Linked DNA regions of Tribolium castaneum. The protein of the gene in region 1 interacts with the protein of each later gene in a biochemical or structural test. Links are inferred from orthologs where the notes say so. Each region holds a gene or a part of one and is shown in the gene's direction. Other genes may lie near its edges.

Region 1 (6,116 bases):
AAGGCACAGAGAATGGCTGGAAGGCATAATAAAAAATAAATCCGCTTCTGGTATCCCCCGAAATCGCCGATTAGGGGAATAACATCGTCATAGCCCATTGTACCGTCACCTGAAACAAATAATTCCAACGAAAACTTTGTGATAACTAATCTCTGGATTTTATTTGGGCTATTTTATGGATTTATTGCGTTTTTTACGACGTTAATTTCAGATTGCTTACCACTAAAATGTTAAAAGTTTTTGAAAAAAATATATTTGAAGATACTTTTCGGGTTAGAACCGCTGCAACAGGTTAATTCGCACATGTAGTGTCAACAATTTAATATAAAAAAATCAACAAAACTAATTGATAATAATTAGAAAAATGAAAAACGACCCGAGTAAATTAAAATGTAAGATGAATTTAGCGCGTTCCCCGGCGTAACGACGTTACCTAGCAACCAATTTGAGACGATGTTGAGCCAACTACGACCGAATCAATAATGGCAAGTGAAAGAATGAAACAGCGTTCTGGTGGTAAATTAACGAAGAACTTACCGATTTGATGGTCAAAGACTAGAAGAGCTCACATAGAAGTGTAACACTCTGCTTCGGAAATCTAACATCTACACGTTTCGGGCTAAATCGGGGTTACCAGTGTGCAATCTTCCAAATCAATACTTATGCTGACCTCTATGGAAAATCCGAAAAATTGATCTGGTCCAATGCAGAGTCACGCCATGCGTTGAATAAGCGCTCGAAACATTCGATTTTCGTAACTTGTTTAAAAAAGACCAGTTTTCACGTTTCCAATTTTTTACTAACAACCCTCTTTTAGAAGGGTAACGAATTTGGCACTTTTTCACGGAATACAGCGTTAAATTAAACAAAAAACGTAATCCTGTGAGCGTAATAAAAGTAATCAGCACTAACAAAGCGGTCTCGACGAGATAACAAGTAAAATAGTGATTTTAAAAAATTCTGAGCACTTCACGGTTTTCGTTTGGGAACCGCTGGTTTCGTACAGTTATCTAACATGCCGGCGCTCTTATGCTCACATGTCATCTTGAAGTGCCAACCAATTTTTGCTCTTATGTAACATGTCAATTCGGAACAAATTCCTAAATCTGTGAGCGGAAATATCGGAAATTTATTGATTTGTGTCAACTGCAATGGTGACGAAGTGTTGAGGGTGTTGTATAGTTGAATTGTTTCTTAGGACAAGAAATCTAACAAAAACTTTGTAAACAATGGTTACTTATTTAAAACTGCTATAAAACTGCCTTTTGCTGGAGTAAATCGAAGCTGGTACGGAACACTTCTTGTTACAATTCACCGAAGTAGAATTTGTTATTATGTTTGCCGAATATACGCCTCTGCCTCTGCGGTTTTCGATTACAAGAGGCAGTGACTCATTCATTTATGATTTTTGTTTCGTAGAAAAATGTCCGCTGCTGGAACCCCATCCACGGACCCTTGGGTCATCCTGGCCCGCGAGCGAGCCCGCTATGAGGAGCAGTTCAAGTCTCTCAAGCCCAACAACGGGGTCGTGACGGGGGAGCAAGCCAAAGGCTTCTTCCTCCAGTCACAGCTCCCACCGCTTGTTCTGGGTCAAATTTGGTAAGGTAACGACCACAGCCGCAAAAATCCACTAACCCTCACCACAGGGCTTTGGCCGACACCGACGCTGACGGCAAAATGGACGTGAACGAATTTTCAATCGCTTGCAAACTGATCAACTTAAAGCTGCGCGGTTTCGAAGTCCCCAAGGCGCTTCCACCGTCTCTCCTCGCCTCCCTGAAGACCAGCACCCCGCCTGCCATACCCCCCCTTCCCAACCCGGCCCTAATCAGCGCCCCGCCGCGACCGGAGCCCCCAAAGCCGGCCCTAATCCAGCCCCAAGTACCGCCAACTCAGCCCATGCTGCCCGTGATGACGCAGCCCCCTATTGCCGGGATTCCCCCAATGATGGCAGGGATTCCCCCGCAGCCTGTGCCCGGCATACCGACGGGTATCGTGCCCCCGATGCAGAGCGCCGTGCCCCAGGTGCAGCCCATGATGGGCATTCCGCCCCAGCCGTTGGTCAACCAAGTCATGCCGACTACCGCATTTGGGGCTGCGCCCTTGGGGGCGAGCATTCCCCCGATGCCTGCCAGTGTTCCCCTGATTTCCGGCACTACTGCCATACCAACAGCTGCCGTTAGTTTGCCGAATGTTCCGGTAACTTTACCGAATGTTCCAACCGCGTCGGCAGCGCCGATTGTTCCGGCACCGCACATGTCTCCAGTGGGGTCCGTTACGGGGGCTGTTGTGTCGACTGTGGCCCCCATGGGGCCGGGGGCCACCAGCACGCCGAGGTCCAGTATTGCCAGCTTGGATAAAACTGCGTCCGTGGAGTCTCTGTACGTAAAAATATATTTTCTCTAAAATTTGTTTTTTGTTCTATTTATTTCTTTTTTTGTAAAGCCATTGAAAGCTAAGTAATTCTCAGATCGGAACAAAATTTTGTATTGTTTTCAGACAAGTCGATTGGGCTGTGCCCCATCAAACCAAGTTGAAGTATACACAAATCTTTAACACAACTGATAGAACTCGTTCGGGATTTTTATCGGGTGCCCAGGCCAGGAACGTAATGGTACAGACAAAACTGCCACAAAGTGTCTTAGCACAAATTTGGTAAGTTTTTTATTTTTGTGTAAAAATTTAAATAAGTGGATGTTTTTAGGGGTTTATCCGACATGGACGCGGATGGCAGGCTGGGCTGTGAAGAATTCGTTTTAGCCATGCATTTGTGTGAGCAAGCTTCTTTAGGCAACCCTCCACCTGCAAAACTTCCACCTGAACTGATACCACCTTCGTTTAGAAGAGTAACCAGAACCGCATCGATTTCTAGTCAAGGCAGCGTTCCTCTGGACCAAGACCCAGCTTCAACGTTATTGCAAAGTAAATTATTCTATAATATGGTATAATTCTTGCAAAAACTATGTTTTCGCAGCTTCTTTCGAAGATAAACGTAAGGAGAACTTCGAGAAAGGTCAAGCGGAGTTGGAGAGGCGCCGGAAAGCTCTCTTGGACCAGCAGCGAAAGGAAGCCGAAGAACGCGAACGAAAAGAACGCGAGGAAATGGAGAGGAAAGAGAAAGCTAGACAGGAGGCGGAACGGAAGAGAATGGAAGAGCTCGAACGCCAAATGAGGGAACAACAGGAACAGGAACGCCTGAAAGAGGAAGAGCGGAAACGACAGGCGGAACAAAGGGAAGCAGCTAGGCGGGAAATGGAACGTCAAAGACAACTAGAGTGGGAAAAGCAAAGATTGCAAGAATTGCAACAACAGCGACAGAAAGAGCAAGAAAACGTCTTACGATTAAAAGCCAAAAGTCAGAGTCTGACCATCGAATTAACATCACTGAACGACCAAGTGAAAGAATTATCGCAGAAAATTTGCGACACGCGTTTAGGAGTTTCGAATGTGAAAACAACAATCGACGGAATGCGGTCAACCAGAGACTCACAAATGCAAGAAATGTCGCAGCTGAAGAATAAACTCAAAGAGCAGAACACGAAACTCCTTGCCTTATCCCAAGAGAAGATCAAACTGGAAGCGAAAAACAAACTGAATGCTCAGATGGGCGGACAGGATGCTGAACAAGCGAAAATCGCTTTCGAAAACAAGGAAATCACTATTAAAAACCTTCGGGAGAAAATCGAAGACATGCAAAAGCAAATTGAAGGGAAACTGTCAGACATCGAAAATAACAACACTCAACTGACCGAGCTTAGAACCCAATTACACACTCTCGTCAGCGAGTGCGAAGGCTTATACGGCGTGTATGAGGAGAAGAAGACAAAGGTTTTAGAAATGAAAAATGCCAACAGGAATTTGGATTACAATGCGAGCTGGAAGAGCAACGACGCTTGGGGTGACACTGGCACGCAGGCCGCTACGGAATGGCCCGCCGATAATTGGGGCACTTCAACAGCACAACCAACCACCGATGTTGGGGTCGTGAGATACAGGGCGTTGTACGAATTTGTCGCGAGAAATTCAGACGAGATTTCGTTCCAACCCGGTGATATTATTAATGTAAGTGACTTGACCCGACTTGAGGTACAATTAATTGTTAATTTAAGGTTCCTACGAAACAAACGGGTGAGCCGGGTTGGTTAGCTGGCGAGATAAGGGGGCACACGGGGTGGTTCCCCGAATCGTACGTTGAACCGGTGGACGGAGTCGGTGTCAGGGACGCTCCAACCGCTGAAGTGTACCCCGAAGAACAGAAAACAGAACGATTAGAGTATTTTTTTCAGTTTTATTAATATTTGTACTACCATGAGTTTGCAGGGGAATTCCCGAAGTTATCGAAACACCGAATCCTGTCCCTGAGCCAGTGCCGGCCGTTACACAACCAGAAGAGACCGGAGAAATCGAATATTACATTGCTAATTATCCATATCAATCTCAGGAACAAGGTGATCTGACGTTCAACGCCGGTGATGTTATCACAGTTGTCAAGAAGGATGGCGATTGGTGGACGGGAAAAATCGGTAATACTGTTGGTATTTTTCCGAGTAATTACGTTCAAAAAGTTGATGTGGTAAGTTGGTGTGTGTTGGAAGATGTTTCGTTTAAGTGTTTGTGTTTGTTAAGAATTCTGGCACTAACACAACCACTGCGAATACTACTACCACGGCCCCGCTTAGTTCAGCTCCTGAGAGCTCTAACACGCCAATAGATTACGAGGTTTCTCAAATCAACGAATACAAGGCGCCTGAGAAACCGCTAGATGCCTCTATAACCTCCAATACTCAGGTTTGTGTCTAAAACTCCTTTTTACTAACACCAATAAACAGCTCTCCGGCGAAGAAAAAATTTTTTTTGTTACTTGCATTTTACGAAAACCGCCATGGGGGCAACAATCTTGATACAAATTAAGGTCCCATAATTTTGAAAAATTTTGCTTTACTTTGTTATGCCGCCCTACGAATGCACAAATTTCAAACTCAATTTTTAAGGAAAAATAATAAATAAAATCGTTTTTTTTTTCACAATTGAATGTTGTTTGTAGGTTAAATCATTACTGTGGCGGGTAATTAAACTATGATTAAGTTTAATAATTCGGGGCCGAGTGGTAGCCGCCACCAGAGCGAAAAACATTTATTTGAGGTAGGTCTTCCGGCTATGTTGCGGAAACAATTATTTGGGAAAGATTGAGGCAGACACATTAAAGACGTACTCATTAATAAATAGTTTAATTAACATATTTGAAAAGTACAAAAAGTAATAAGTATGCTTGCATTAAGGAGACAAATACTAAATCTATTGGGAATCGCCATCTCTTATGGAACCGGTCCTGGATTGATTCACCAAATACCCGTCACCGAATTGAGTACATGAATTTACCGAATACCACATGTAACCCTAATTTACTTCTAGTTCTAACAATTATAGTACTTAACGTTTATTTAGTCTTTAAAAATCCAACAAAGTTTCGTTCATTTATCATTCGCAACGGCGTTCGAATCGTTCAAATAAACAGGTAGCGTCCGCCGCCTTTGTTACGTAATTTACAACCCCAAAACGTTCGGCAGGTACTTATGATAATTTTTACAACAAGGTCCATGTCGAACAACGTGAGAAACTCTGGCCACCTCGAGAAAAGAAACAGTTTACCTATCTTTAACATCTATTGTTTCGCAAACCACCCGCTAGTGTTCACCGTATATTTTCCTGACTGGTAATTAATACTGAGTCTGTTCTGTCTCATAAACATGGAAAAATATCACAACAAAGTCCGACAAAGCATAAACCAAAATACGAAAGAGCTGATAACGATCCATGCTCGGAGTAAAGAGAATTCAAATTGACCAAAACTCACAATGCATCATGCGAAGTTGCCTCGATGAAATAATTCCAAAATCAGGGCACTTAGGGCTTTTTTTTTTTCACAATACAACACAATTGTCACTTAAAACAGTTGATCACCGTAGGATCTTTTGAGAACGGTAAGGCAATACCGCAACCGCTCGGTACTTCTTACTTCGAAAAAACTCGGCGTAAGACTGATTTGATTTTTGTTTTAATTTTACTCGTTACTTCGGTCCCCTACTCAACCCTTATTGATTGTAAATTTGGTCAAC
Region 2 (5,307 bases), on another chromosome or scaffold:
ATTCGATAATCTTATCAAAATTTAATCACACATTTGAACCTTCCACAATATTTTTAAGATTTCGTGACCGATATCATGAGCTAAATTTTTACGATTAAACAATAAAACTGTTCTTTGTGGATTTGGAATGTGTGTCATTTTAAACGCACCTCAAGTAACAGTTAAATTTATAACAAATTGTGACGCACCAATTGGGTGAATCATGGGTAGCAGAAATTAAATGTTTAACAAGAAAGAGTAAAAGTTGGAAAGTTTATTCAAATTTAATTTAAAATGAAAAGTGTTCTCTAATGAACGTCGAGTGTTTTCAACCAGAAATTCATGTGATTATGTAGTGCGGAAGAGGAAAAAAATCATATTTGATTGCGGAAAAATTAAGTAATAAAATAAACAAATTCACTGACTTGTTATTTGCTCCATTTTTCAAAAATTATTCCAGGAAATGATGACTGATGAACACATCCCAAAAAAATTTTTTATACAGGGCGTGACGGTAAAGTTGATACAGTCTTGGTAATGAGGAAGTTTCCATTTTTTTCAAATTAACACCATTAATAGTCTCCATAATTGTAAAACTAATGGTACTTTTCATTTTTTTATATTCGCAAAAATAAAAAAGTTAAGAGACCTCAAAGTTCGAAATTTGACAGATTGTGCACTTTACTGGTCTCGCTAGGTGTAACGTCACGCGGCACAATTTTCCACAGCTGCCTACTGCCGCGTGTGGAAAATTCGATTTTTTGAGGGGCTGTATCTGGTTAAAATTAACATGTTTCCAAAATTATTTCGCTGTTCCTCAATTTTTTCCACTTAGCTATTGCACTCCTATATCTTTTATGAATGTTTAATGAACTATTAGCCCTAAATAAAATAAATAAAATTTAGAAATCTCACGTTATAAAACCGTTTGATATAAAAAAATGAGAACATTACAACTTTAAAAAAGAAGAAAATCGTAATTTCATATCTTTGAAAACTCTAGGTTTATAATTATAAACCACATCTACTTATTCATCGAACGTATCTTCAAGAGCATTGACAAATAAAGAAATTGTATTTCTGTTTATGCAAGAGTTGATATTCTTTAATAAGAAGTCGTTTGTTGAACACTTATTTTTTTACATATTTTTTGTACAAAACACTTTGCAAGCATTGTTTGTTCTAGAAATCATAAAAATGTTCATTTGTTAATATTTTTAATTTTTTTAAATTAAATAGTATTTTATTAATATAAATATTTCTCATTAATTAATATTTATTGTTTATAAGAAATTGTAGAAAGAAATCTGAAAAAATTCGATGGCATACAGCAAGAAATAAAGCAAAATAAAATCGCATACGCTGATTTTTATGTGATTATTAAAATGGATTATTATTAGTTATTAGTGATTTATTACAGTATCTACTTAAACATATTACTTCAATCATCACAAATAACACTTTCTTTCAATATTTATTTCTTTTAAGTCAATAAAATTATCCAGAGATCTCAATACAATACCGAAAGGAACAGTAGTGTGTAAATCGCGTTACCTTGTGAACAGTTTATGCCGCGTGACGTCATCAGGCTCAAAGCGGGACCGCTGTCAAACCGGCAGGCAAAAAAGCTTATATTTTTGTTATTTTTAAAGTTATCGAATTATTTTTTTTTGCATTCAATTTCTTTATTTGAGTACTATTATGTTGAAAATAAATAATAAATAATAAAATAAATTTTGAAAAATGGGAAACTTCCTCATTGTTTTTGTAGGATTTTTGAATTTTCACAACGAGAGAGTGAGTTGTTAGAATAAAACTTGGGTCTATTTTCAATAGTTTATCTACAAGGTTCACAAAAATAAATACGTTCGTCGAAAATCTTCGATTTTATGTTGTTTACGTCTGGTGATTAATTTAACCGAAATGTTTGCAACTAAATAAGAAACGATTTTTTTTTTCAGAATATGCTGAATTTCTCCACTGTAAAGGCAAAAAATTCGTCGATTTCGACGAAGTGCGTCGCGAGATTGAAGCGGAAACGGACCGAGTCACCGGAAGTAACAAAGGAATATCGAATATTCCCATCAACTTGAGGGTGTACTCACCCCATGGCAAGTCCTTATTAAACAAACGGGGGCAAAAAATCGATTTTACGTATTTTTTAGTGTTAAATTTAACCCTGATCGATCTACCGGGCTTGACAAAAGTGCCCATTGGCGATCAACCCCTCGACATCGAACAACAAATCAAAGGGATGATAATGCAGTTCATCAAACGTGAATCGTGTCTCATCTTGGCCGTAACTCCCGCCAACACCGATTTGGCCAACTCGGATGCCCTCAAACTGGCCAAAGAGGTCGATCCTCAAGGTAGAAACATGGCGGGAAATTTGAATTTTTTCAAACGATTTGTTATCAGGTCTTCGGACGATTGGTGTTATCACGAAGCTTGATTTGATGGATGAAGGGACCGACGCTCGGGACGTGCTAGAAAATAAGCTTTTGCCCTTGAGAAGGGGTTATATAGGTGTGGTGAATCGCTCACAGAAGGATATCGACGGGCGGAAGGATATCAAGGCGGCGATGGCGGCCGAAAGGCAATTCTTTTTGTCGCATCCCTCGTATAGACATCTTGCCGATAGGTTGGGAACACCCTATTTGCAAAGGGTGTTGAATCAACAATTGACCAACCACATAAGGGATACGTTACCAGGATTGAGGGATAAATTGCAGAAGCAGTTGTTGACGCTTGAGAAGGATGTCGAGCAGTTTAAGCACTTCAGGCCCGATGATCCTGCGATTAAAACCAAGGCGATGTTACAGTAAGTACATTTAAAAAATAAGTTTGAACTAAAAAAATATTGTAAAAAATGACTCATAATCGATGAGAAAGAATGTATTAATAACGAAGAAGTGGAGAGTAAAAAAGCACAAACAAAATAAAGAGGAGGGTGATCAGTTGAGACCTATTTTGCTAGTAGCCAGAGTATACAAAATGAATATAGTGGAACCTCTTCAAAACGAATCCATATCTCGAAATTTCGAATTATGTAATAGTTTTTTTTATTAATTCTCGTCTTTAATACGGTATTGTAAAGGTCTGGAAACCCTAAAAACAGCTTTTCTCACTAATTTTGAGCCTAGAGAAGATACAGGGTGATTCTTACATAGAAAACAATTTTTTTTTACAACTTTCCAAGGAGAAATAGAGACGATCTGTACTATTTTTACGCTTTTATTTCGTTTCTTGAGAAAAAAAGCAAAATGTATCAGTAATTTGAAATTAATAAAATCTATAGTATACATATATTTTCAGTTAAAATCTTTGTGTACTTGTGCCGTAAGAAGTTCGACCTGACAAAGTTCTACTGTAAAATAAATTTTCAATTGTTTTTATTGTTCATTATTGTTGTTAACTTTAAAATATGTCTCAATGAAAAAAATGTTTTTTGATCCTACACATTTTGATTTGTTTTTAAATGAAGCCGTAGGTTTTTAAAAGGATTTAAATAAACTATAAATCGGTTCTTTTCTTTAATTAATAAAAAAATAATAAATCAGAAAAGTAAACATAAATGAAACAATTTTAGTCGAGCAATAGATAATTTTCGGTTAATTTATTTTGGATTTCTAGGAAGAATTATTTTATTGCTGACATTTTTATTTAATATGTTACAGTGAAAATAATAAACGATTTTTTTGTAATTTGCAAAAAGTAGATATGTACAATTTTTTTTAACTAAAAATGTTCATATAATTTTCGTGTTTGTTTTTGATTTGTTAAGAAATAAAAAAATTAGAAGGTATTACTAAAACGTAATGAAATATTCGTAATGTTACGTGCAATCAAAAATGTAACTAATAACTTGGATTAAATAAAATAGAAATTGAATTACACAAAAAATAAATATAAAAAATAACTACACCTGTATACTTTTAAGGAGGTAAGTGGACTAACTGTAACCAACTAAGCTTACGTCATGACTGATTTATATTATATCACTGGTCAGAGAATAAGAATGAAAATTTTTGTTTTTTTTTTTTTTAATTAATTATCAGTTACTAAGAAATGAAGCCACAAAAAAATAAAATGAATATATTGTTGTATGTATTAGGTTCACTGGAGAAATAAGATGCTTTAATTTATCATTACTCGGTTCTATCTAACTTGTAATCAGAGTAACAGGAAAATAAGAAACATTTAACATTTTGTTTTTTTTTTTTTAACCAAAAAAGTAGTAGAAACTAACCTGAAAAAAAATAAAAAAAATTAGTAGACCAATGAAGAAGTTTTCAATTTTTCAAAATGTTATTATTTATTTTCAACATAGTAGTACTCAATTCAAGAAATGAATGCAAAAAAAATAATTCGATAGCTTTAAAAATAACAAAAATATAAGCTTTTTTGAGCCTGATGACGTCACGCGGCATAAACTGTTCACAAGGTATCTGCGATTTACACACTACTGTGTAAATATCTGGATAATTTTATTGACTTAAAAGAAATAAATATTGACAGAAAGTGTTATTTGTGATGATTGAAGTAATTTGTTTAAGTAGATACTATAATAAATCACTAATAACTAATAGTAATCCATTTTAATAATGGCACAAAAATCAGCGTTTGCGATATTTTTTGCTTTATTTCTTCGAATTTTTTCAGATTTTTTTCTACACTTTCTTATAAATAATAAATATTAATTAATGAACAATATTTATGTTAATAAAATATTATTTTATTTAAAAAAATTAAAATCATTAACTAATGGAAATTTTTATGATTTCTAGAACAAGCGATGCTTGCAAAATGTTTTGTACAAAAAATATGTAAAAAAATAAGTGTTCTATAAACGACTTCTTATTAAAGATATCGGCTCTTGCAAAACAGAAATACAATTTTTTTATTTGTCAATGCTTCTGAAGATACGTTCGATGAATAAGTTGATGTGGTGTATAATTATAAACCTAGAGTTTTCAAAGATATGAAATTACGATTTTCTTGTTTTTTAAAGTTGTAATGTTCTCATTTTTTGATATCAAACGGTTTTATAACGTGTGATTTCTAAATTTTGTTTATTTTATTTAGGGCCAATAGTTCATTAAACATTCATAAAAGATATAGGAGTGCAATAGCTAAATGGAAAAAATTGAGGAACAGCGAAGTAATTTTGGAAGCATGTTAATTTTAACCAGATACAGCCCCTCAAAGAATCGAATTTTCTACACGCGGCAGTGGGCAGCTGAGTGAATTGTGCCGCGTGACGTCACACCTAGCGAGACCAGTAAAGTGCGCAAATTTCGAACTTTCGAGGTCTCGTAACTTTTTTAT

The links.
Region 2: the proteins of Dap160 (region 1) and shi form a complex in vitro, tested with the Drosophila melanogaster proteins (2 studies listed by BioGRID, with this or other methods). The link is inferred for Tribolium castaneum from reciprocal best matches to the Drosophila melanogaster genes Dap160 and shi.

What each region holds. Positions count from the first base shown.
Region 1 is NC_087394.1:30,595,575-30,601,690, reverse strand, and holds part of Dap160 (intersectin-2), read left to right. Parts: coding exon of another isoform or gene 1-98; exon of another isoform or gene 99-109; intron 110-220; exon of another isoform or gene 221-408; intron 409-433; exon of another isoform or gene 434-772; intron 773-1,118; exon of another isoform or gene 1,119-1,287; intron 1,288-1,419; 5' UTR 1,420-1,423; coding exon 1,424-1,599; intron 1,600-1,646; coding exon 1,647-2,381; intron 2,382-2,499; coding exon 2,500-2,655; intron 2,656-2,704; coding exon 2,705-2,922; intron 2,923-2,974; coding exon 2,975-4,062; intron 4,063-4,109; coding exon 4,110-4,273; intron 4,274-4,320; coding exon 4,321-4,573; intron 4,574-4,626; coding exon 4,627-4,788; intron 4,789-6,116. Other genes in the region: Orct (organic cation transporter protein), read right to left, coding at 1-98.
Region 2 is NC_087400.1:8,003,284-8,008,590, reverse strand, and holds part of shi (dynamin), read left to right. Parts: intron 1-1,940; coding exon 1,941-2,090; intron 2,091-2,144; coding exon 2,145-2,348; intron 2,349-2,397; coding exon 2,398-2,800; intron 2,801-5,307. UniProt on the Drosophila melanogaster protein: Microtubule-associated force-producing protein which is involved in the production of microtubule bundles and which is able to bind and hydrolyze GTP. Implicated in endocytic protein sorting.